3 linked regions of the Oreochromis niloticus genome follow. The protein of the gene in region 1 purifies or fractionates together with the protein of each later gene. This does not show direct contact. Links are inferred from orthologs where the notes say so. Each region holds a gene or a part of one and is shown in the gene's direction. Other genes may lie near its edges.

Region 1 (8,349 bases):
GCTTCCATTTGCCAATTAGCTTTATGGGAACACGGACTTCCATTTTTAGTAGGACCTGCCCACAAGGCCACAATTACTAGCAAATGGTTGCTGACCATGTTATTATTGTATTTGATTGGCCAGTAAACCTGTGTTATCCATTCCATTTGGATAGATGAATGCCTGATCCGAAAATGAGAAGAGCACAAGGCCTTTATCAAAGCAGCTTGGACTGGTTGCCTCCATGCCTCACTGCACTGATGCAGGAACTCACTGTAAAGAAGTCCCAGTTAGCTGCTAAGTGTATTTCACCTACACGTAATAAATATATGTTCATCTTTTAGAACAAAATTACCAAAAAAAAAAAAAAAAAAAAATTCACAATATTCTGATTCTTTGAGATCCACCTGTACTTCAGTGCATGAAACCCCCCCGGGGGTGAGGGGAGGTGGGTGTGTGTGTGTGTGTGTGTGAGACTAGGTGTATCCTAAATCACACTTGCACATGATTTGTATAATTCATATTTTTGTATTATCTGCCAAACTGTATGTTTTGTAGAAAAAGACAACTCATTGAGTCTTTATTTTTAAAATAATGGATTTTATAATGACAATGTAACAGACAAATCAACTCTGATGAAATAGATTTATTGGTTTTGCAATTTTATAAAAGCGTGTGCAAAGATACAGCATATTAAAATATTTCCATACAAACAAAACTAATGTTCCAAAAAAAGTTACAATACAAACAAAGGTTCTAAGACACTGAGGTTTAATAAAGATTAGTCTTCCTCATTATCCGCAAGAACTCCTGTTCGTTGACCTCACCGTCCCCGTCTCGGTCTGCCTCGTCAATCATTTCCTGAAAGGATAATAAATGTGATGAAGCAAAGGGAAGGAAGTGAGAGCATCAAACCGGAACAATTCTCATACTGACTTCAGGTAACTTTGTGTTTCATGCATGGCATTTGACTGCAAAGGTTACCCAGGAAAACCCCACCTAAAACAATACAGTTACTACTATTGTACTGTGACATGTCAGAACATACCAAGAGGAACTGGGAGATATGAGAAGAGAGACAATAAGTTTGGTACTTAAATAGAAATGTATTTATAGTGGTTCCTCTAAGTATGTATTGTTCTTTAAATAAAGAATTCTTAGCTTCTGGCCATGCGGTATTAATTTACGGTTTGTACCACTTATACAATTTACTGTAGTAGAGGTACTACAATATTTTAAATATGAGGTAGCGAATTTAAAATCAGTCAAACCAGCAAAAGGGTCCACTTTACCCCATCAGAATGAGCAACTTTTTTTTTGTACTTTAGTATATTTAACAAAGCCAGCTGGGGTGGCTGTAGCTCAGGAGGTGCAGCAGGTTATCCACTAACTGGAAGGTTGGTGGTTTAGTCTGCAGGCCAGGCCAAGTATCCTTGTGCAAGATAATGAACAACAAGTTGCTCTCTGATGTGCTCATTGGAGTACGATTGTATGTGAATGTTAGACAGAAAGAACTTTTTGTGTAGAAAAAAAGTGCTTATATGAGTGTGTGTTTGAATGAGGCATATAAAGTAGAGTAGAAAAGCGAGAACCGGTTCATTTACATATAAAAATTTAAATCTTTACACTATGAATATTTACTGCAGACTGACTTGCAGGCTCTCAAAGTACTGAGCAGCAGAGCAGTAGAGAAACCTTTTTATTAATTCATTTCATTTTACCCAGCGTTACTGAGCCTTCATCAGGTTTTATGCAAAGGAGAAAGCCATATTGTATTTTTCAGAACTGAAAAGCGCTCTGTTAAAAATCAAATCAGTTTACACCCACTACAAATATCACAATCTAAATTCAAAATCTTTTTTTTGTTCAAGATGGGGTTTTTCTCAAAACCCAACTTTTTGAGCATCATTACCTCAGGAATCAGTTTCAATAACCTGATAATACAAAATGCAATTTTTAATTTATGATTTTTTTCATTAATTTGATTGAGGGAAAAATGCTATCCAAATTTACCTGGCAGTATGTGAAAAAGTATACCGAATAACTGGTCTTACCACCCTTGGCAGTAGAAACTGCAATCAAGCCTTTCACATCACTGTCCTACCCTTCTTTGCAAAACTGTTTTAATTCAGCCACATGAACAGCCTGTTTAAGGTTATGCCAAAGCACCTTAATCAGTCGTGACTTGTGTTTTCTTTGTTTTTTTTTTAAGCCAATCAGAGGTGAACTTGCTGGTGTGTTTCGGATCATTGTCCTGCTGCATAACCTGAGTGTGCATGAGTTTCTGGGATGAACTGATGGTCAGGCATTCTCCTTTAGGATTTTCAGGTATAGAGCAGAACTCAAAGTTCCGTCAATTAAGTCAAGTTGACCAAAGCAGGCCCAGATGTTGCTACGATGTACTTTTTTTAAAATGCTGTGTTTGTTTTATGCTAGATGTAGCGGGACTCAAACCTTCCCAAAAAGTTCAACTTTTTGTCTCGTCAAGGTCTTGGAGATCAACAAGACATTTTTGGCAATTGTGAGAATAGCCTTTATGTTCTTTTTGGTTAGAACTCACTCTTGGAACTTGTAGTTCTTTAGATGTTGTTCTCGGTTCTTTGTGACCTTCTGGATGAGTCATCAGTGTGCTCTTGGAGAAATTTTAGCAGGTCAGCCACTCCTGGGAAGGTTCACCACTGTTCCAGCCTCTCTCTATTTGTGTATAATAGCTCTCACCGTGGTTTGCTGGAGTCCTTAAACCTTTCCAAACTGATAGATGCCAATGTTTTTGTTTCACAGCTGTGCTGCTTTTTCAGATCTTTTAGCCTACTTTACTTCCTTTAAACAGCCTCTGTTTAAGTGATTTCCTGATTCCGGCAGCAGTCAGGCCTGGGTGTGGCTGTGAAACTGAAGTCAGCTTTCAAAAAAATGTGTTTAATCACAGTTAATTCATGATTTAAAAAGGGGAGGGTGGATTACTTCTTCACACAGGGGCAGGTAGCTGTGGATAGCTAGTGCATGTCCACAGTGTGTGACAAATATGCAAAAAAAATAAGAAATAAGGAAGGGCCAAAGACTTCCTTACAGTACTGTATAATCACTATGTGGGATAGTTGTTTGGACAAAACTATAACATTATCAAAGGTCTCATTTTTACCTACATTTGTTTTTTAATCAGGCTCATCTTCTGTGATTCCTTATATGTCAAAATCATTTTCCAAATTTGGCCCACAGATATTCATACTATTTCATGGTATGAATTTAGCATGGCTTCAATAAAAATACAAAAGTTATTCTTAGTATAAACAAAATCTTTTATGTACATGCAAAAGTGCTACCACCCCCCCAAAAAACCAAAACTGTAAGTACTCCAAAGTAATGAAGAACTCTATACCTGCAGCTCTGCATCTGTGAGGTTTTCACCCAGCTCCTTGGCAACTCTCTTGAGATTTTTGAATGAGATTTTTCCCGTGCAGTCATCATCAAAGAGCCGGAAAGCCTTCAGTATTTCTTCTTTTGTGTCTTTTTCACTCTGTTATCATCAAAAATGAATACACACATGAATATAATACAAATTAAAAATGTGCTTTTTTAACATTTTGCTCCAAATGCAGTCCAATATGAACATAATTTGCAGAATGTGTGTAGGAAATGAAGTGAAGCAAATTTTACAAAACACAGACATAAAGAATGTGCATACAGTATATTTTATAACTCTTAAATGGAAAAATGTTTTGTAATGTAAAGAACAGGTGGCCACAATACATTTTATCTATAGTTTTTTCAGTCTGAAGAAAGCCTTTTGCTATGATCTACTGTTACTGTGCTATTTATTAGTAAGGACACAGGAAAGCCAGAAAGGTGTTGGTGACTTTGCATGTACAGTGCCGTGATGTATTTGCTCATTGTAGCAGGACCCATGCTAATCAGATGCCAATCAGGCACCTGATCGTCAACATCTGAAGTACCAGAAGCTCCAAACAAGAGTCAAGAGCAGAACAAGCACTGGCAGAGACGATTTGGTTTTTCATGGGTCAACCCACAAATACACTAGCCTTACAAATGTGTCTGTGTGTGAGACAGGGAGGGCGAGAAAGAGAGCAAGAGCGAGAGAAAGAAAGCTACTATATCTAGCAACTTCTTGCAATGTTTAGAATTGCTCCAAAACAACAGTTGTTGAAACAACATACAAATGCTTGATTTAGCTGCAACAGTTGAGGACAGTGCTATTTTCAGACAGTAAAACTTCCAACTTAACTGCAGAGACGTTTTCTGGTTGTTCCTTTCGGTAAAGCACTCACCATTTTCAGTGTCATAATACTGAGAAAGTCACCAAAGTCAATCGTTCCAGAGCCCTCTTTATCAATGTCTGCAATCATCTTCTTGATTTCTTCTTTCTTTGGTTCAAAGCCCAGAGCTCTCATGGCAACCTGTGGCACAGATAACAGTAAAGAAAGCTGAAGCTGCTGCGGTGCAGTGACCGCGATATGTTTTCCTTTCTTAATTTTCATCAATACACATTTAACTAGAAAGCCAACCTTGAGCTCCTTCACGTCTATTGTTCCAGTTCCATCTGTGTCAAAGAGATCGAACGCCTCTTTAATTTCTTGCTTTTGCTCCTCAGTCAGGTCGTTTTTTAAATCCGTCTTTTTCCTTTGGCTAGCCGTGGAAGCTGGTTTCCGGTAACTTGAAGCCTATGAAATACAATATTAATACATCACAAAAGGTACCTATTAAGTTAACAGCAACGAGAGTCGCGGTACATATCGTATTTTAGGTCATTATTATGCTAGCTAGCTTAAATGCTGTTCCGGGAGACCAAAGAGAATCAAGTTAAAACTAAGGGCTTTTTATGGCAAATCTCACAACTTCTTAAAATGTTCATTAAACATTCGTTTATACAGTTACTTTACTTAATTAAATAAATGCACACCATTTGAATTAATGATCCCGACGGGGAAACCTCTATGTTTTGTTTGATGGTCTGGTGTCAACAAACCAGGTAGCAACGGCTGTGTAGTTTTTCTGTGAACAGACATTGGAAAGAGCCAATACAAATGATGAAAGCACGCTGACGAAACCTGATTAACCAATCACAAAAAAGAGTAGGCGGGCTAAAACTGTTTCAGCCAATCATACGGACAGTTTGTTGTCGCCCAGCAACTAGGAAACAAAACGCATGCGCAGTGTTTAATCGGTTGAGCTGGACCAGGCGTATTATAAATGTCTCGTACACTATTGAAATAAGGTAAAAGTATACTCATTGAGGTTAGTAAAAAGTTTGTTTTACAGTGCCATTTTGCAGAGACATTTATGTTTTTTGTCCTGCTCTTGGAATAAGGTACAGACACGGGCAGTTTTGTAGTAAACCTGTCTTTGGTTCGTTAGCTTAGCTTGTAAGCTGACTTGTAAGATGCTGAGTGAAGTGCAGGCATTGACAAAACTCGGTGCTAGTGTTGGAGGAAGAATTAATACCCGTCAGTTTTTCATGAGTAGCAATGTTTTACATCTAATACCTAAATCTATTATATATGGGTTGCACCCATTATATCTGTCAAAAGTCAGTATGCTGACTGCCATCTGTCTGCAAATACGATTTTCCATTTAGCAGTGCTTGGCTGTAAACTGCTTAAATCTTAAAAGACACGTGATGAGGGGGTGAAAGGCTTACGAACAGTTTGGTTTCCCTGGACAAAGAAGGAAAACAAAACAAAATATCAAACTTGCCAAATTGCTATTTTAATTACCGTTATCAGAGTTAAAAGAGTTTTGTTTTTTGTTTTTTTTTAAAAAGCCCACACTGACAGTGAAAACAGCTCAGTTGACAGTGATGACTCGGGTTAAGGCTTCTCTGCATAAAAATGATTGAAACCCTTAATTAACTAGATTAGAACTTTCTAGAATATCTGTAAAGTTGACACGTCTTGCCATTAAACTAAAGAAAACAGTTGTTCAGGCTAGGTTAACCAGAGAGTTTACAATCCGTGAGCAATAGTAGGGCTCCATGCCGAGAAAGAGAATTACAGATGTGATATTCACTTTGAACATGTTGATGGAGATGTGTGGAGAAGGTCAAAACTGTTTCAGGCTGTTTTTGTAGCTCTAGAGAAAGCATATGATACGCTGCCAAGAGAGGAACTGTGGTACTGCATGAGGGAGTGAGTAGTGTTAGAGAAATATCTGAGGCTGGTGCAGGACATTTATGAGGATAGTGATGAAGTTTGCAGTAGGAGTGATAGATGGGTTTTCAGTGGGGGTGGGATTACATCAGGGATCTGCCCTGAGCCCATTCTTGTTCACAGTGGTGATGAACAGGTTGATAGATGAGGTCAGGCAGGAAAAGAGGAAGACCACAGATAGGTTCATGGATGTAGTGAAGGAGGAGATGCAGGGGGTTGGTGTGACAGAGGATCCTAGGGATAGGTAGAGATGGAGCCAGGTTATGTGCTATGGCGACCCCTAAAGTGAGCAGGCAAAAGAAGGAGTAGTAGAAGATGGTCTATCATAAAAAAAAGAAACAGCATAAAAACAAATAGGGCCATTAAAAAAAGCTATTCTCGCAATCCCCCCTCCCCTGCGTCTTTTTAGTTTCTTACAAATCTTTTTTCATTTGAGGATTACAGTACCATAATGTATAATACATTTGAATTTCCAGGAGGTGTGCTCTGTCTCAGATTGGTGACCTCTCCAGGGTGTACCTCACCTCTCACCCTATGGTAGCTGGGATAGGCTCTAGCCCTCTCGCGACTTAAATAAGGATAAGCAGAAGAGAATGGATGGATAAAAAAGGAGATCTGAGGGCCTATACTTAGTTACTGTGCTTTGTGACTTTTTACTTTAAAAACACAAATCATGTTTCCTAACTAAAGCAAATGTTCGTGAGAACTTTTTTTGTTTAGAAATGACCAAACTTAAAAATTTTCTTTTATAGTTCACAGTCCTCGAATGATGTTGGGAAGTACAATCATAAACCATCGACAGCATGTTGGACTGCAGAAACTGTTGGCGCTGGCAGGAATCTCACATTCCTCTTTGGGCCCTTGTATAAAGTACAAGTTTATCCAAGATGACAAAAGTGGGGAGTCTGCTCTTGTGTGCTCATGTTTTCGCATTATTGAGACCCTGGAGCTGACCTGTGCAGTGGGTCAGCTGGTTTATGAGACTATTCAAGCCCACCAGAAGGTCTACCATACAGGATCAGGATGCCTACTGTTCCTAGCAGGAGCCTGGAGCCGTGTTGCCCTGGACTGTCTTCAGAGAGGAATTTCAGTAGGGAACATAATCTCAGCTATGTCTGAAGGGATGGATGTATGTCTGGATGCTTGCAGGAAATGTGCCGTTTCAATTGATGGTCTGGGTGTGACATCGTTAGAGAGTTATGCTGTGAAAGTGTCCAAGAAACCCATCAAAAATTCATCGCCTGCATTGTGCAGCATGCAAGAAACAATAAAGTTTGACCTCAAGACTCTGACCGTCGGTGAACAGAGAAGAATAAAACTTAGCAGACATTTTTGTGAGGCGAAGTCTGAAGATTTCTCCAAAGTATTGCTACAGTCTCCTCAGCCTAAGCTTCCTGACATTGTACACATTGCAGAGGGATTGAGCCATGGTTGTGATGATGCAATGAAACTTGTTGTCGAAGTTATTTGGATGCAGTCAAAAACTAATCAAGAAGATGTGAGCTATCCCATGTTTGACATTACTAAAGTGGTGACTTGTATGCTCCCTGGTTTACCAGAGGACCACGGGTGCGTTGTATTTGGCTGTGTTGTTCTTTTATTTGCTGAACAGGCTACAGTCGCTCATCACTTAAAAGAACAACAACTGAAGGTTGTTCTCATAAATGGAGATTTATCACATACTTACCGCCATCTTGGCTTTAACAGGCCGACAGGTATGCACCGTGTGAGGGATCACGTGGATTTTTCAAGTTCGAGCAAAGAGGACGAATGGGTGGAACAGACTGTGGCACATCTGTTGAACCTGGAAGTGAACCTGATACTAATCCATGGGCACGCTTGTGAAAAAGTGATTCAGCACTGTTGTAGGCATCGTATACTTGTAGTGGAAAATGTGAAGGCTTCTGTTTTGAAGACATTTGCCAACTTGTCTGGAGTTGTTCCGGTAACCTTTGCTGCGCAACTGAGCAAGCAAAATGTTGGCACTGGGGCAAAGGTTGCAATATGGAAAGACCTCAGTAGCCACGAGAAGAACGCCCTGGCTGTGAATATCTCAACTGGCAGCAACAGCGGGCTAGTTACAGTAATCCTTACAAGCTCTATACATGGAAAGCTGCAGGCCCTGGAGGACCAGTTTTGGGCCTGTGCTTATCGCTTACACTATGCACTAAAAGACAGAGCTCTTCTACCAGGGGCGTGTGGGACAGAA
Region 2 (8,595 bases), on another chromosome or scaffold:
ACATCTGATGTGCATTATTTCTGTCAGAGCAACAGACTGAGGATGAACAGCTCGGATTTTTCATAGAATGAGTTTCCTCTTCGCGGTATGGTTATGCCCATTAACAAAAGGCTCTTGGGAAGGCATGAGATTTCCAAAAGGTGACCAGAAACTCCAACTTTTTCTAAAGAATGAACCACAACATGGTAATGTGGTGTTACAGCAGTTGAAACATGCATCTGTAGTGCCCTCTAGTGGACAAATAAATTGCTACTTAGAGGGGAAAAAAGAAAGACAATCTTACATCAGAATATGAATACAGCAAATGCTAGAAAAACAACCACATGCTGTATTGCTGGGTTGCATATTTTCCAGGGCTGCACGAGAGCTTTTCAAAGGTTTAGCGCAGACCATAAAAACTCATGTCATTTGCTGGAAGTAGTTTGTGTAGCTGTTCTACTATTTGGACGTAGCACAAACACAGAGAGCTGTTTATCATGACGGCTAAAACGTTTGAAAAGAAAGCATATTCATCTCGTCGCTTGGTACCTTGTGTGCATCTTACGTCAGAAAAATGCATTTTGTGGTGAGTGAAAAACACAAAACAGCTTCTTCAGCTTCTTAGAAGCAAAATATTTCCCAAATACATATGGCAAGTACTTGTTGACAAGACGCTGAAATAAGCTATAAACAGTTTTATAGCCCTGAGCAAAGTTTACTGGGAAAGGCTCTCAGCAAATGTACTTCAATTAGAGTTACAGACCCAATTCCAAAATAGCTGGGACACTGTATAAAATGTTAATAAAAGCAGAATTCATTGGTCCTCAATCTCATAATCCCACATTTTATTTACAAGAGAACATGGAAAACATACCAAATGTTTAAACTTGAGAAAATTGTAGTACTATTTCAAGAAAAAAAACAAGGTCATTTTGAATTTGTTGGCAGCAACATGTCTCAAAAAAGTTGGGACAGGGCCATGTTTACTACTGCGTAGCATGTCCTCTTCTTTCAACAATGTAAACATCTGTGAACTGAGGAGACCAGCTGCTGAGCTTTTAGGAAAGGAACATTATCCCATTCTTATCTGATACAGGATTCTAGTTGCTCAAAAGTCTTGCGTCTTCTTTATTCTATTTTTCATTTTATTTTCTGCCAAATGTTTCCAACTGGTGAAAGGTTTGGAATACAGCCAGACCAGTTCAGCATTGGGACTCTTCTACTGTGAAGCCATGCTGTTGTAACAGATCCAGTACATGCTTTAGCATTGTATTGCTGAATTATGCAAGGTCTTCCCTGAAAGAGACATCATCTGGATTGGAGCGTATTCCAGATGTGTTAGCTGCCAAGCCCATAGGCATTAATGCACCACCAGAGATGCAGGCTTTTAAACTGAGCGTTGATAAGAATTTCAAAGTCTGATTTGTCTGACCACACAACAGATTTTTCCTTCCCATTGTCACCATGTACTTGCTCACAGGGGTCGTCTGATTTTATCTTGAGGCACAACTGCTGTTGCACAGTTGAACATGGGAGCACAACGTTCTTTAATTTAACAAATATATATTATCTCCTAGGGCTGGACTATATCATACCGTTCACGGTAATACCGGTGTAATTTTGGGCAACGATAGGAAAATTAAATATCGCGATAGAATATGGGTAAAACACGCATGCGCAGTGCCTATGTTTACATACGCACATGGCGGCGACGCAGAATGAGAAGAGCGAAAGTGGATCGTTAAATGAAACGGATGAACCAGAATCGGTTTGTAAAAATGCTGCAACTTCAGTGGTGTGGAACTGGTTTAGCTTTCGTCCCTCAGATACACAACAAAGCACTGTTTTTGGTAGCGCATGCTAGCGGGCCGTCGTTATTACCGTGTTGTTTGGAAAATACGGCGCACTTAAAATCAATCCTTTGATTTTTCTGAAAATTGACAGTGCCCCTTATAATCCCGTGTGCCTTATGTATGAATTCTGGTTGTGTTTACTGACCTCGAAACGATTTTATGTGGTACACGGCGCTCAAAAATCTGTCAAATGTTTTAGTACGACTTTGCTAAACTACGAACCCGCACCGCTTGATGGATTGTCGGAGCATTACGGCTATCGTAGGCAGGAGCCTCGCGGAGTGATACGTACTGTGCTTCAACATAATATTACCGTATTGTGTGTGTATAACCTCTTTTTAAGTTTTGTGGATATTATACATGGTTATGCTGAGGATATGTGGGCCAATTTCCACTGGAAATGCCTTTTGGTTAAACTGCCAGCAAGGAATTTGCATTTGCACTGTTACATTTTTATATAACTTTAATGCACATAAAAAACAGCTGCTTGTTTAAGTGAAAATACATTGATGGGGTTTTTTGCACTAATAAAGTTGTGGAGTTGTAAAGTATTTTGTCTAGTGTCAATTATATCGTCAGTTATATCGTTATCGCAAATTTTCAAATGTATATCGTGATAAATATTTTTGGTCATATCGCCCTGCTCTATTATCTCCTTCTTATTTCAGCTGATCTTTTCAGGCACTCCCACAACTAACCATCTGCCTACATCTCACCATCTCCTTAGCATCTTCCTCTGTCACACCAACCATCTTCGTGTCTTCCTTCACATTCATTCATTCATCTTCTCTGTATATCTATTTTCATCCTGCCTGGGGGCTCCATAGCAAAAATCCTTTCCTCAACATATCCACTATCCATCACCTGCACACATGCACAGCCTTGGCCCTTTGTGTCTCCAAACCACTCTGAGGTGTCCCCCGATATGCTCATCTCGAATTCTGTCCATCCTGATTAGTACCAATGTGAACTTCCTCAATTCGGCTTCCTGCAGCTCCTCCTCCTGTCTTTTTGTCAGTGCCATCTCCAAACCATACATCATAGCAAGTCTTACTACCATCTTGTAAACTTTCTATTTCAGTCTTGCTGCTATCCCTCTGCCACAAATCACCTCTGACCTGCTCCATTCTACCTGCACACTCTTCTTCACCTCTCTTCTGCATTGTGCGTTGCTTTGGATGGTTGTTCCCAGATATTTAAACTCATGCACCTTCAGTAACTCTACTCCTTCCATCTTCACCCATCTCCCTCTTATTCACACACAGTTATTCTTTCTTGGTTCTAATGAATTTCATTCCTCTACTCTCCTGAACACACCTCCATCTCTCCAGGTTCCACCTGCTCCCTACTCTTACTAAAGATCACAGTCATCTGTGAACATGACAGTTCACTGAGACTCCTGCCAGACCTCATTTCAGCTGTCCATCACAACAGCGAAAAAGGATGGGCTCACTTATACTGCACACCTCACTATCATCTTGGTGTCCTCATATATGTCCTGTACTACCCTCAAATACTTCTCTGCCACTTCTAACTTCCTCATGCGATAACACAGTTCCTTCCTTGGCATCCAATCACATGCTTCCCTCTCATATAGATATCCATATGCCGCCAAAGGCAAGTCATTTGAACCAACTGCTTTTCCACTCTTCATCCTCTTGTAGCTTTTTCTTCAATGCAGTAATGCACCTGTAAGTTGGCAAACCAACAGGTGCATTACTGCCACCTAGTGGACTGGAATGTGGACAGGAGACTAGCATCAATCATCTAATTCAAGATATTTAAATAAAAGCTTGTTTAATTTCAGTAACAAATTCCTCAATGAAAAACTGTCATTTCTGTCCTTGAATAAAGCCACTGATTCTCTTCTTTCTCACTCAAACTTAATGCAAAGGATTGATACATGTTCAACAGGTTTTGGTGGATTACATAAATGCAGAGACCTGTTCGGTGTTTGCCTGTTCTAGTGTATGGTTTAGCCTATATGTCCTATTGTCAACAAAATAATCAACATTTCTTCCTTTGGATTCCTACCCTGCATTCTCTTCAAGCCTACATTGTTGTATAGATTTCTTCCTGTGTCTGCTGTATCCCAGTAATGAAAACAGTACAGCTCATACTGCTACAAATTTTCCGCAAATGAGTCTTACGATAATTTTAACTTCTTCACAGCTGCCCTCACTTCCTCTTTACTAATCATCTGTACTTCCTGAGCCACACTCCCTTCTTTACCTCGTTTTAGTCATTCATCATCAACAAATATAATATACAGTATGTTAATTCAACACAACACCGCACGAGTTTGTGTAGTGGGTATATCGTTTCACTTACCTTAATGACAAGTTTGATAGGAGCCATTCTCATGAATTCAGTTAGCTTCACTAGAGTAAGTGCACGGTGAGCAGCTATTAGCTGTATTTTTTGAAGACAACAGAGACAGATTTCTTTATTAGTTACGCTCGTGCGACAAACCACCACCGTCAACAATTACAAAAACATAACAAGTGTTATAATAAAATAAAATAATAACATATAATAAGTTCGTTCGACATAAAACATATACATATAATAAAGTTAACCAGGACTTCATACCGCCAACAGTTTTGAATGTTTCTTCAACAGCCAGGCGACCGGAGATGACGTCACCTTAAATTTGTAGTCCAATAACTGAGGGCATTGTGAGTGGGACGTTTCACTGTATGCCTGTTGCATAAAAAAAATAATAATAGAGATGGACAACTACTCTTCTACTATAAAGACTCGTAAATTCGCTTTTAGTTTGTTTATTCCTTATGAAAAGCCGGTACTAGAGGCAAGCGACGGTTTCTCGAGTAGGACCGCAGCTGGGCCAAGCGCTGTGTTGCTACCATGGAAACGAGCTGTGTCTGTACAACGCCTTTGTCAATCTCTTAAACTATACACTGTCAAATTACATCTAAATATGTATGGCATCAAACGTTAGACCCTACAATAAGGTAGTAATGGTTTTGGTTGGATTTAATAAATTAATCTGCAACTGTTCCCCGTTCTTTTTAAAAACAATTTGGTCAGGCAATGCTACGAGCATCACTATTCTATCATTACTAACACTTATTCCTGCCGATTTCAATGCCGTATGTTGGTATTGTCTACCTCAACAATGTTAAATCTGCTTCGGTCATGTCTCGAGTCAGCAAGAAATCTCCATCTGTTTGCACTGATATGCCACTGGACAACACTGATATTTGCAGCAAGCTTCAGCTGCTGAAACAGATACTAACGTCTTGTTTTGGTCCCACAGGTAGACTGAAACAAGTTCACAACAACATTGGAGGACACGTCGTGACCACCTCTGCCTCCTCGGTTCTTCTTTCATCCGTTTCCTCCTCGCAGTCTTTTATCAATCTCATAAAAACCTCCATCCTCAACCACGTCTCTCGCTTCAGCGACTGCGGTTTGTTTGCAGCCATCTTATGCCTTTCTCTTATTGAACAAATCAAAAAGTCTGCTCTCAGGGAAAGCGTGGCTATCAGAGTGAACAACTACCTGCTCGCTCTGTGTACCAGCTACCTTCAACGAGAAGACTGTGGTTGTAGAGTGAAGCTCGACTTCTGCAGCACTCAGAACTTGATCACGTTAGCTCGCAGTGTTATCTCCAGCAAACCCGCATGTGTACTAACAGAGCCCGAGACGCTTCACATTAGCAAACTGGCTGTGCAAGCTTTTTTGCTCACCGTTCCCTGCAGCAGTCCAGGTATAGTCAGTTTTGGCAGAATAGTGACTGTTCCTGTAGAAGGCCATTCTGTGCTAAGCTCTGAAGTGCTTCCAGGTTTACTGGTGGAGATGCCTGATGGCCTGAGCGAGGAAGACAATCTTTTAAATCCCCTCAGTGTTGTGCTTTTCAGTGCATCTCTTGCTGGGGACATTTCTGAACTAGGAGATGGAGTAATTGAGGCCCACTCGGATGTAGACACAGACTCACAGATCCTGGGTCAACTTCTGGAGCTTGGCAGACAGGTGATTAATGATGAAGTGAAGCTCTTCGTGTGCCAGAAGGTCATCCACCCAGTTTTGCAGCAATACCTGAGGAGTCATGGTGTCATAGTGGTAGAGAGACTGGGAATTGCTCTTATGGAACCACTCACTCAGCTGACAGGTAAGCTCAGATGCAGGCTGCAAAATCATGCCATACATACAAGCACCAGTTAAACACCAATAGCTTTATTTGTATTTCAAGTCAACTCATTGCACTACTGTAATAATCTATCTACTGTCCAAGTGGAATATACTTTGTGTTGTATTTATGGTAGGGTTTTGTTTGTTTGTTTGTTTGTTTGTTTGTTTGTTTGTTTGCATACCTTTTACAAATAGGGGCTCAACCTGTGGCCACATTACATACCACAATCCCACCCAAGACCTACGGAAAGGTGAGGGATCTCTGTATAAAGCACTTTGGATCCAAGACAATGCTGCATTTACTCCCTCTTGGGGAGTCTGCGATCTGCACAATGATCCTCTGCCACAGGAACCAGACCATGTTAAATGAGCTGAAGGTAAGATAAAGTGGGTGTTAAAGCTGCCCTGTTGGCTTCTGGAGTTAATGATGGATGGGAAGACATATTGCCTGAAACAATGTAGATTCCACTCATAAGACTCCCTATTGCTAAGATTTACAATTCCTGCTGTATGTTAGTTCAACAAATGAGAAGTCAGTAATGGATTTCCCCACAAAGTAAATTTTTTAGTGTTCGTCCATTGAGAGATCAAATTTCTTCAGATTTAAAAAAATATATGTTTTTAATACAGAGACATGGTATACCCATTATTGTGATGTAAATGTGACAAAGTGGTCACTTTGTGTGTGTGTTTGTGCTAAAGGTGGTGTGCCAGACGGCAGAACATGTACTGAGGCTCACTCTAAGGGAACCATTTGCCTTGGTTGGGGGTGGCTGTACTGAGACACACTTGGCTGCTTATGTTAGACACAAGGTGAGATCCAGTATTTGGTCTTCACTTACCCCAGTTTTATTGATTTCACATATCTTTCACAATGACATGCCTTCATGATGCCATGTTTTTTTTCTTAGAGCAAGAGTGAGGTACCAGAGACTGCATCAGTATTAATGTGCTCACAGACAGAGTACCTTCTTGGTGTGGAGCTTTTCTGCTGTGCTCTGGAGTCTGCAGCTGGAGCACTGGAGCATGATGGTGGCAGTTCTTTAATTGATCTGACTCACGCTCATCGCTGGATGCTCCCTGCAGATGCCATCAAAGAAACCATGGAGGACAGTTTGGGCTTCTGTGGCTGCGGTCTGGTACAAAGTAGCCCAAGTAAGAAGTGGACTTATCTAAACACTAAATATTCGGATTTCTGTCCATCGCCCGTGTTTAGAGACACTCGTGTGCAGCCACATGTACTAGACTCCTTCACAGCTAAACTCAGCGCATTGCAAGTTGCTATAGAAACTGCTAATCTTGCTCTGGATGTTAAATATATAATTCAAGATATGAATTAGCAGAACAAATATTTTGTGTAGTGTGGAATTCTGGTTCGTGGGGTTTAAAATAAGGACTGAATGCTTCCTTTTTGGTTTCAAATAAAAAAAACAAAGTTTAGACAGTAGGGAGTGGGAATGTCTTATTTTTGCATATCATTTAAAACCCATGTTGGCACTGGGGTACATTAGTACATTCTGACATGGGTAACTTATATCTGTGAAGGCAGCATTAATCTTTAACTACACTGCTCAAAAAAATTAAAGGAATACTTTGAAAACGCATCTGATGTCTCTGAGGAAAAAATCATGCTGGGTAATTATACTAATGTGTTAGCAGTAAAGAGATACCATGTTGTTGGATGGAAACGAAAATTATCAACCTGCAGAGAGCTGAATTCAAAGACACCCCAAAAATAAAAATGAAACATTGATACTTCAGGCTAGTCTGTTTTGCAGAAATGTCATTAAAGCAACTCAAAGTACTAGTAAGTAGTTTGTGTGGCCCCCACATGCCTGACAACGTCTGCATATGCCCTTAATGAGATGACGGATGGTGTCCTGGGGGGGATCTTCTTCCAGATCTGGAGCAGGGCATCAATGAGCTCCTGTCATTAGAGGTGTTCCCAGAGGTGTTCTATTGGATTTAGGTCAGGCAAGTGTGGGTGCCAGTCAGCAACATCAGTTACTTTATTCTCTAGGAACTCTCCTTACTCTCACCACATGAGGCTGGGCATTGTCATCCATCAGGAGGAACCCAGGACTCACTGCACCAGCATAGGGTCTGACAGTGGGTCCATGGGGTTCATTCTGGTACCTAATGGCAGTCAGGGTGTCGTTGGCTAGCCTGTAAAGGTCTGTGTGCCTCTCAGTGGATATGCCTCTCCAGACCATCACTCACCCACCACCATGTTAAAGGCAGCATTACATTCTCCACGGCTTCTCCAGACCCTTTCACATCTGTCATATGTGCTCAGGGTGAACCTGTTCTCATCTGTGAAAAGCATAGGTCACCAGTGGTGGACTTGTCAATTCTGGTTTTCTATGGCAAATGCTAATCTGCTCCACGGTGCCAGGCAGTGAGCACAGGGCCCACTAGAGGACGTCAGGCCCTTAGACCACCCTCATGAGTGTCCTGCTGGAGGTCATTTTGTAGCTCTGGCATTGCTCATCCTGTTCCTCCTTGCACAAAGGAGCAGATACCGGTCCTGCTGATGTGTTAAGGACCTTTTACAGGCACAGCTGTCCAGCTCTCCTAGAGCCTGTCTCCTGGAATCTCCTCCATGCTC
Region 3 (7,997 bases), about 670 kb from region 1:
GAGTTGCAGCTGCCCCCTGACTTTTGAAGGCAAGGCGGTAAAATTAACTTGTAGATTGCATTAAGATGCTTTTTAGTTTGGATGAATTTTGTATGCTAGCCACTGAGAGAACCTGAGTGTAAGTTTAAAGTCAGTAAATCTGCTACCAGTATATATGAGAAGAGTGGAGACAAGAACAAGGGATTGGTTGGGTTTAATGTTAACCATCTTTGTGTCTCTGCAGCAATTTCTGATGAGCAACAAGCTGGAAACTGCAATGTGGCTGTCACGACTCTTCACTGTCTATTGCTCTGTAATGTTCATTCTACCAGTTTTGGGGTGAGTTCACTGTGGAAAATCATCTAATTATAAATGTTGATTAGCTTTAAAAGTAGTTATAAACCAATCTAAATCAGCATTTGAGTGTTTGTCACTGCTTGTATATTTCAGACCTTATGCAGCAGCTAACTTCTATCAGAGAGCGTTGTTAGCGAATGCCCTCACCAGTGCTCTTCGCTTACACCAGAGGCTTCCACGCTTTCAGCTGAGCAGAGCTTTCTTGGCCCAGGCTCTGCAGGAGGACAGCTGTCATTACCTGCTCTACTCACTCATCCTGGTCAACTCCTACCCCATTACAAGTATCCTTTCATTGTGAGCAAGTCTGCAAGTTTAAATGGAGATGATAGCATTGCTACATACATTGTGTGTTTTGTTTTTTTAGTTTTAAACAATAATGAAACACTATTTCACTGTTATAGTTGGACAGTGATTCACTATTTACTTGTTGCTGCAGTTTTTTTCCAAAGACAGTCTGATAGGATTCCTTAAAGGGTTCGTTTTGAGACATTCAATAGGATTCAGACCTGCAGTATTACAAATCAATTAGTCTTAGCAGTGAAAGATTTAGTTTTTCCATAGGTGCAATCATGCTCCCTTACTATTGTATTATTTAGGAGGAAGTTGTTCTTTTCTGTTATTTAACCTTAACCTTCTTGTCCAGTGAGCATCTTTCCAGTTTTTCTTTTTTCCTTGCTTCACGCAACTACCTACACAAAGAAAGTTCTTGATGTAAGTATGAGTCACCACAGTGACTTATTGAAAATTACTGTGAAATCAGTTTAAACATTATTTAGCCACAAGCTGGGATATTAGTACCAGCCAGACCACCATGTCTGAGGCAGCAGAGAAGGTTTGTGGTTGGATTCACACAATGGCAACAGAGCAGCGCTTTACATGGCTGCTCTGCTCCTGTTGGTGTGTGTGTGCGTGTTTGAGATAGATTAGGTAAATTAGAAACACATCGTAAAGAACTTTATAGTTAACTGTTACAGTTAAATGGAACTATGAAAGTATAATGTACCATTTAGACACAACTTAAAATCTGGAAGCTAATGATTTCTAATGTGTTTTCCTTTACCTTTTACTTCTTGCTCCCACTGCTCCTTTCAAAATGTTAATTTGCCAAATCTTTCATTTCACTTTGTGACTATTTTTTGTTTCTTTTAGACCATGGGCCCAAACAGCATGATGTTTATCCGGGGCCTCCTGGACAAACTGACATCTAATCAGCAGAATATCCTGAAGTTTATTGCCTGTAATGAGATCTTCTTGATGCCAGCAACTATTTTTATGCTGTTCAGGTATGCGTACAACTGTTTCTTTTGTGAAGGATTTCTTTTGTGAAGACCCATTGTAGCATCCCTAATCTAGTGATATGTTAATATTGATTACTGGCAGTGATTGTTTTGTTGTTGTTGTTGTGTTAATCTCATAAATATGTATCAGTTTTATCTCAACAAATGCAAGCCCTTCTTTGTAATCTTAATACAGAGTGTCCAGTTTTCACATGTTCATGTCAATAATATTTTGTCAACAGCGGCCAGGGGAGCCTATTGCTGCCTTTCATTTATTACCGATTCCTCACTCTGCGCTACACATCCAGAAGAAATCCATATTGCCGGTAAGATTTTGAATTATCTGTTATTGTCACATAGCAACATGGTGTTGCGCTGTTGCTTCACAGCAAGAGGCTCTGGGGTTCAACCCAGGACATGGCCCTTCTGTTTAGAGTTTTCATGCCCTGCTATTCAGAAGGTACAAAGATTAGATTAGATTTACTTTCAATACAATCCGAGTGAAGTACTTTTCTTTCTGTCTCAGCACCTTGTTCACCGAGCTGCGAATTCTTTTGGAGCATTTCATCATGAAGCCTGCCTGCCCTGCCTTCTTCAGGAGGATGTGCCTCAGCAGTATCGCCTTTATCAGCCGCCTCGCCCCCACGGGGGTTTGATTACACTAAATTTGTTTTCCTCATGTGTTGTTTTTCAGTAAGATGTACGATGTGACTTAACTTCGATGGGGAAAGACTTTGCCATCAATGGAAGGAACCGTTTTTTTGAATGTCAACTTTACAGTCTGTGCTCCAATTTTTGTGTATCTGAGTGCAGCTGAAGACCAGCCAGTAATGCACTGAAGGCTCATGCTGATATTTGATTTTCCATCCTTTTAATGTGACCTCATTGAAGCGGTGGACATCCTGTTGTTCTGTTACCTTCGATGGGCTGAGCACATTAGCTTGACATCAGCTGTGTTCCGTTTATCGGCTGTTATCATTCTTTCCTTTCATGTCTTATTTATTCATTAAAATCACTTATTATATAATGAAACATTAACATTCTGAGATTAGTAAATTAATGAACATGTGTTTATAAACAATGGATTCTGATCATTTCTTTAAATAATCATATTGTACTTTTTCAGGTTCTAACTATGTCTGATTTGTAAAGCATCCAATGCTCTTATTTGTCTAAAGCCTAATTATTAAATGTATTCTATCAATGCCATTGGCTCACATTTCAGCAACATGCAAAATCTTATGTAGCTATGATGTCAAATGGATGTTAAACTGAGAAAATAATCTGCTGTATTTTATAGGATATTTTAAGGTACCAGATGTTCTGCTGTATGATTCACAAATGGAATAACTTGCAGAAAGCATGCCATGCTTATGAATGCACTCTGACCTCATTTCTCAGTTTAAAAGCTGTTTTGATTTTGAGTCATTCATTTCTTATTAGGCTATAGGTTTCTTGCTTAATGCATGCTCTGGTATGTTTTTCTTTCCCTGCCATGTTAATTGTGTTTACTTGCCTACAGACAAACCACATTTTTATAATGACAATAAAGTTATCTCCTAAACAAACACAGTGTTGAAGAATGCTAATTGGGTTTGGTACCAATAAGTTCTTGCATTATAATAGTTGACTTCGATATGAACAAATCCTAATAAGGATTTATTTATGCCTGTTTTTAATATTTATTCAAAGCATAGATCTAATATAAAAGTATTTATCACAGATAATTACAGTGTTAATGTATATTGTTTCTTACTAGAGAAATGTGAGTTAGTGAATAATTGTTCATACCCTATGAGTACATTGTTTTTAAGTGGTTTCCAATTAAACCTAAAAACAATTTTACACATACATATCAAATAAATCTTATAGACACACAGCATGCCATTTATCTGGGATATATTTGCCAAAAAAATAAATAATGTGTGATATTTATGTATCATTTTAAATAAGAGTTCTTTGATTTTATGATGCAACAGGTATTTATGTGGGAGAGTAAAAAGAGCTTATTCTGTCCATTTAAGTTCAGACACGTATTCTTCCCTGATTACTTTTGACAACACCAGTTAGTCATCTGAAAACACAAGAAAGAAGACAATTTTCAAGACAACTCTGACAAGATACCATCACTAAAACCAAATTTGAGTTTCTCTACAGTATGTGCCAGCATTTGTGTAGCTAAAGGACTGTGTTTATTAATGGTGTGTATAAAGAAATATGACTATGACTTTTAAGCACCTTCAACATTGGCATAATAAATGTGTCACGAAAATTAAATGGTGTTTTATGTTTAAAAATGAGAGGTGCCAAGAGGGTCTGGATAAGTAGTCAATTTTGTATTTCCCAAAAATAGAGAAAGAGTAAAAGTTGGTACAGATCCTTTAGTAAAAACTAATCAGTTGTTTCCAAAGCTTTGAAAATTCAAAAGGCTAATGGGATTTTTCACATTACTGGCAAAATGGCACGCTTTGGCCACTTTTAAAAAGATTATGGTCATTATTTGCTGCTTTTATGTTTCATTTCTCTTTTTGTCTTTCATGTATTATTGTATTTTCTGCCAGCTGTAGAAGTGACATGACGCACAGGGTGGAAAACGTGAATGAGTTAGCCAATCAGAACACAGCTTCAATGTCTGTTACTCCCTTTCAACCAGTGGAATTGCAGTTTTGTTACAGCCTGCAACGTTGCCATTAGCAACGGCAACTGCCCTCTTCAAGTCTGAAAATGCTGCACAGATCGTTTATACCTGATATCAGCGTTTAATGAAAATTTATCCGCGCTCACATCTACACACATCGACTTCCTTCGTGTCTTTTTTAAAGATGATTTTCGGTCTTTGAGGAAGACTGCGTGCCAGTACCAGTTAGCTCCGATAGCTAAAGCTAGCACGTTGAGCTAATCCACTTGCTTTAGATAATCCCAGTCTCAGCTAGCATCGTTATCGTCTTGGAATTGGGTTGAACGTTTTTCTGACAAAATGTTAATGGTAACGGACGGCTATGGGGCAAGAGTAATGTCTGAATAACCTTCTTGGACTATTTGCAGATTTTTGTTTCTACTTAAGTTGAAACACAGTAGAGAAAGAAGATGGATCTTCGCCTCAATAGAGTTGATTACATTCAGGTAAAACAAAGCAGACCACGTCGGGTTTCTGCTGTCTTTTTTTCTTTTTCTTTTATTAATATTAGGAGTAAAAGTTCCCCTCCATTCTACCTCTCAGGTTGGCGTGACATCTCAGAAAACTATGAGGCTTCTTCCTCCACTGGGAAAAAAGGCAACCCAAAAGGTATCGTTTATGAGCCATACAGTAACCTAAATTAATTAAAATGTGTTTTCTTGTTTTCTGACTAAATCCAGATTGTTTTCCTGCTTTTGCTGAAGACTGCAGATGTTTAAAAAATGTAACCTTGTTTGGGTTTTAGTTTATTTAACTGTAATACTAATTTTGTTTATTAGATGGTAAGAAATCAAAACCAATGACATTGATTTTTGATAAATAATTGCTTTACCAGAGCCCTTCAATAAGTAAGACTTGTCACGCTGTGTAGTAATTTGGGCAGTTGTTTTGAAGTTTCAGTTTAATTGAAAGAGGCAGTTTTCAATGGGACATGTAAACTGCTTGTATAGTCAGTCAAATTTCATAAAAAACACTATAAAAATTAATAGACTTTGCCTCAAAACAATATTTAAACACCATTTTTCCAGCAGGCTTTAATTAAACATGTTTTCTATTAGTTCATTGTAGAAAACTTTAAAAAGTGCATTTTGGGTAAACCTCAAAGGTCATATCACCATTTGGGATCAGTGCTTGGTCAAAACAAATTATAGTATATGTAAGGTCTCTTTTGACACTGGGCTTATCTTCTAGATGTGATTCCTTGCCTTTTCTACAATCATTAATTAAACTAAAAAATGAAATTGGTAAATCTTAGAGTGCTCGATTGGTGTCTCCTCATGTTTCAGGTTGCTATTGCTGATCACGATGGAATACTCACATGTTTTGGTATCAAGAAGGGGGAAGCAGTGGTGAGTAAATATTTTCCTGTCATCACAGAGATTTGAAACAAACAGCTTGTAAGACTTTTGACTCTTTGTTTCAGCCCGTCTTTAAAACACTTCCTGGGCAGAAGATAGCCCGAATGGACCTTGGAGGTGCTGCGGGAACTCCCCAGGAAAAGATCTTTGTCTGCTCTGGTTCTCAGGTCCGAGGATTCACCAAGAAAGGCAAACAGTTCCTCACTTTTGAAGCCAACCTAACTGAGAGCATTAATGCAATGTAGGAACTATGTTTTTTCATTTTGATTTACATTACACGATTGAGCTGTGCAGAGCTGTGTCATCTTTACCCCACTGGGTCTTTTCCAGGCATGTGTCAGGCTCCGACCTTTTTGTGTGCGCAAGTTACATCTACAACCACTACTGTGACTGCAAAGATCAGGACTACTACCTCTCTGGAGACAAGATCAATGACATCACATGCTTGTCCACAGAAAACCTCACTCACCTCGTCCCAGTCCTGGCATGCCAAGATCGAGTGCTCAGAGTCTTGCAGGTAAACTGAGCTCTCATTTACTGTTCTGATTTTGAGTTGCTCTTTGTCAGATGAGACATGCCAATTGTTTTATGGTTTTGTATGTAGAGATCTGAACTTGCATATGACATAGAAGTTCCTGGCCCTCCTTCTGTGTTGGAACTGTATAAAGATAAAGGCAAGCTGATTTCTTTGTTTACTTTAACTATAAAGCATGAAGTTGCTTTATATGTACCAGTTTGAACTTAATTTCTTAGATTTCTCTTTAGGAGAGGAAATTCTCTATGGAACCACAGATGGAAAAATAGGATTGGTTGAGATTGGTGAACATTCAGCTGCGACCAAATGGGAAATTGACAATGACAAAAAGAAAGGAGGTATGTACAGAAATGCAATATTTTTACTGTCCAACAGAGGGTGATTGCTCTGAGTCAAAGCAGTCATAAAGCAGAGTCTACTGCAGCGGTCCCCAACCTTTTTTGCGCCACGGACTGGTTTATGCCTGACAATATTTTCACAGACCGGCCTTTAAGGTGTCGCGGATAAATACAACAAAATAAAACTAGTACCGGTACCGAAAAAAAGAAGATTTATTCATAACACAAGTGAAAAGACCCAGGAAAACCGAGTTAACGATAACAAAATAACACTGAAAACCGATAAAAACCCTGAAAACCATACATTTCACACCTGAGCCTCAACTCTCGCGGCCCGGTACCAAACGACTCACAGACCAGTACCGGTCCGAGGCCCGGGGGTTGGGGACCACTGGTCTGCTGCATGGGCGTGCAGTAACAATTTGTTTCTCAAACAGATCTATCTGATCTCATTTTATACACAGTCTATGTTTCCACAGTGTTTAAACTGATACTCATGCATACTAACTTATGCATTTTTTAACCTCTGGCAAAACGATCACGCTTTCTGTCTCCCAGGAATTCTTTGCATTGACACCTATGATATTATTGGTGACGGAGTGAGTGATATCCTGGTGGGGAGGGATGATGGGACGGTTGAGGTCTACGGCTTTGACAGCTCTAATGAACCGACATTACGCTTTGAGCATGTAAGTGATTAAAAATTCACTCTCCATAGAATTACAGTTGTATTTTTGTAACTGTTACAAACCTAAAGTTCTTTGAATAGTTGTTGCTTAATTTACATATATTAATGCATTTAAGTATTAAATGACAGACTCCCTTCTTAATCTTTAATATTTCCTCATAACAGGTATTGTCAGAGAGTGTGACCTCCATCCAGGGTGGTTGTGTAGGGAAGGAGTCTTATGATGAGGTCTTGACTGCCACCTACACTGGTTAGATGATAATGTTTCCCTTAATACTGCAGCTTATGCATTTTTTTTCCTCAGAAACAATAAGTGTCTGGTGTCTTGTGTCCACTCTTTTCTTCACCTCTTACAGGATGGGTGACTGGTTTGACCACTGAGCCTCAGAAGGCCGAGGCTGGCCCCGGAGATGAAGTCAGGATGAGCAAGGAGACACAGTCTAAAGTAGAAGCACTCAGGTATTAGCAAAATCTTGTTCCTTTTTTTTGTTTGGTTTACTCTGAAGTGTGATTTCAAAACAAGTCTGTTTTTCAGTTAGTAATGTTGTCAACTTTCAGGGCAGAGCTGGAGCAGCTGCAGGTCAAAGTCCTGCAGGGACGTGAGCAGTACCAGCAGACCTCTCAATCAAGCACGGCTGTCTCTGCTGTCCCCGTCTTCAGCATCAATGACAAGTTTACACTCTGCCAAGACGATGCCAGCTACAGCCTCACCCTGGAGGTGCAGACTGCCATCGACAACCTGCTGTTGCAGGTACATTTGTCTGTTATACCGCACTGTTAAAAGACAA

What was found.
Region 2: the proteins of bbs12 (region 1) and mkks purify together in Homo sapiens (co-immunoprecipitation; 4 studies listed by BioGRID and IntAct, counting the BioPlex papers as one, with this or other methods). This does not show direct contact. The link is inferred for Oreochromis niloticus from reciprocal best matches to the Homo sapiens genes BBS12 and MKKS.
Region 3: the proteins of bbs12 (region 1) and bbs7 purify together in Homo sapiens (co-immunoprecipitation; 3 studies listed by BioGRID and IntAct, counting the BioPlex papers as one, with this or other methods). This does not show direct contact. The link is inferred for Oreochromis niloticus from reciprocal best matches to the Homo sapiens genes BBS12 and BBS7.

The regions. Positions count from the first base shown.
Region 1 is NC_031966.2:11,149,154-11,157,502, reverse strand, and holds the start of bbs12 (chaperonin-containing T-complex member BBS12), read left to right. Parts: upstream 1-5,107; 5' UTR 5,108-5,209; exon of another isoform or gene 5,210-5,229; intron 5,230-6,892; 5' UTR 6,893-6,906; coding exon 6,907-8,349. Other genes in the region: cetn4 (caltractin), read right to left, coding at 751-840, 3,356-3,493, 4,263-4,391, 4,500-4,655, 4,895-4,897. UniProt on the Homo sapiens protein: Component of the chaperonin-containing T-complex (TRiC), a molecular chaperone complex that assists the folding of proteins upon ATP hydrolysis.
Region 2 is NC_031978.2:23,281,926-23,290,520, forward strand, and holds mkks (molecular chaperone MKKS), read left to right. Parts: upstream 1-4,900; 5' UTR 4,901-4,940; coding exon 4,941-5,967; intron 5,968-6,182; coding exon 6,183-6,364; intron 6,365-6,689; coding exon 6,690-6,800; intron 6,801-6,898; coding exon 6,899-7,327; 3' UTR 7,328-7,427; downstream 7,428-8,595. Other genes in the region: protein SLX4IP, read right to left, coding at 4,164-4,244, 4,425-4,544. UniProt on the Homo sapiens protein: Probable molecular chaperone that assists the folding of proteins upon ATP hydrolysis. Plays a role in the assembly of BBSome, a complex involved in ciliogenesis regulating transports vesicles to the cilia.
Region 3 is NC_031966.2:11,820,467-11,828,463, forward strand, and holds the start of bbs7 (BBSome complex member BBS7), read left to right. Parts: upstream 1-4,275; 5' UTR 4,276-4,700; coding exon 4,701-4,736; intron 4,737-4,833; coding exon 4,834-4,899; intron 4,900-5,576; coding exon 5,577-5,639; intron 5,640-5,713; coding exon 5,714-5,889; intron 5,890-5,978; coding exon 5,979-6,165; intron 6,166-6,252; coding exon 6,253-6,322; intron 6,323-6,401; coding exon 6,402-6,521; intron 6,522-7,079; coding exon 7,080-7,210; intron 7,211-7,374; coding exon 7,375-7,459; intron 7,460-7,565; coding exon 7,566-7,668; intron 7,669-7,767; coding exon 7,768-7,960; intron 7,961-7,997. Other genes in the region: tmem33 (transmembrane protein 33), read left to right, coding at 224-318, 430-617, 980-1,047, 1,486-1,619, 1,856-1,939, 2,140-2,269.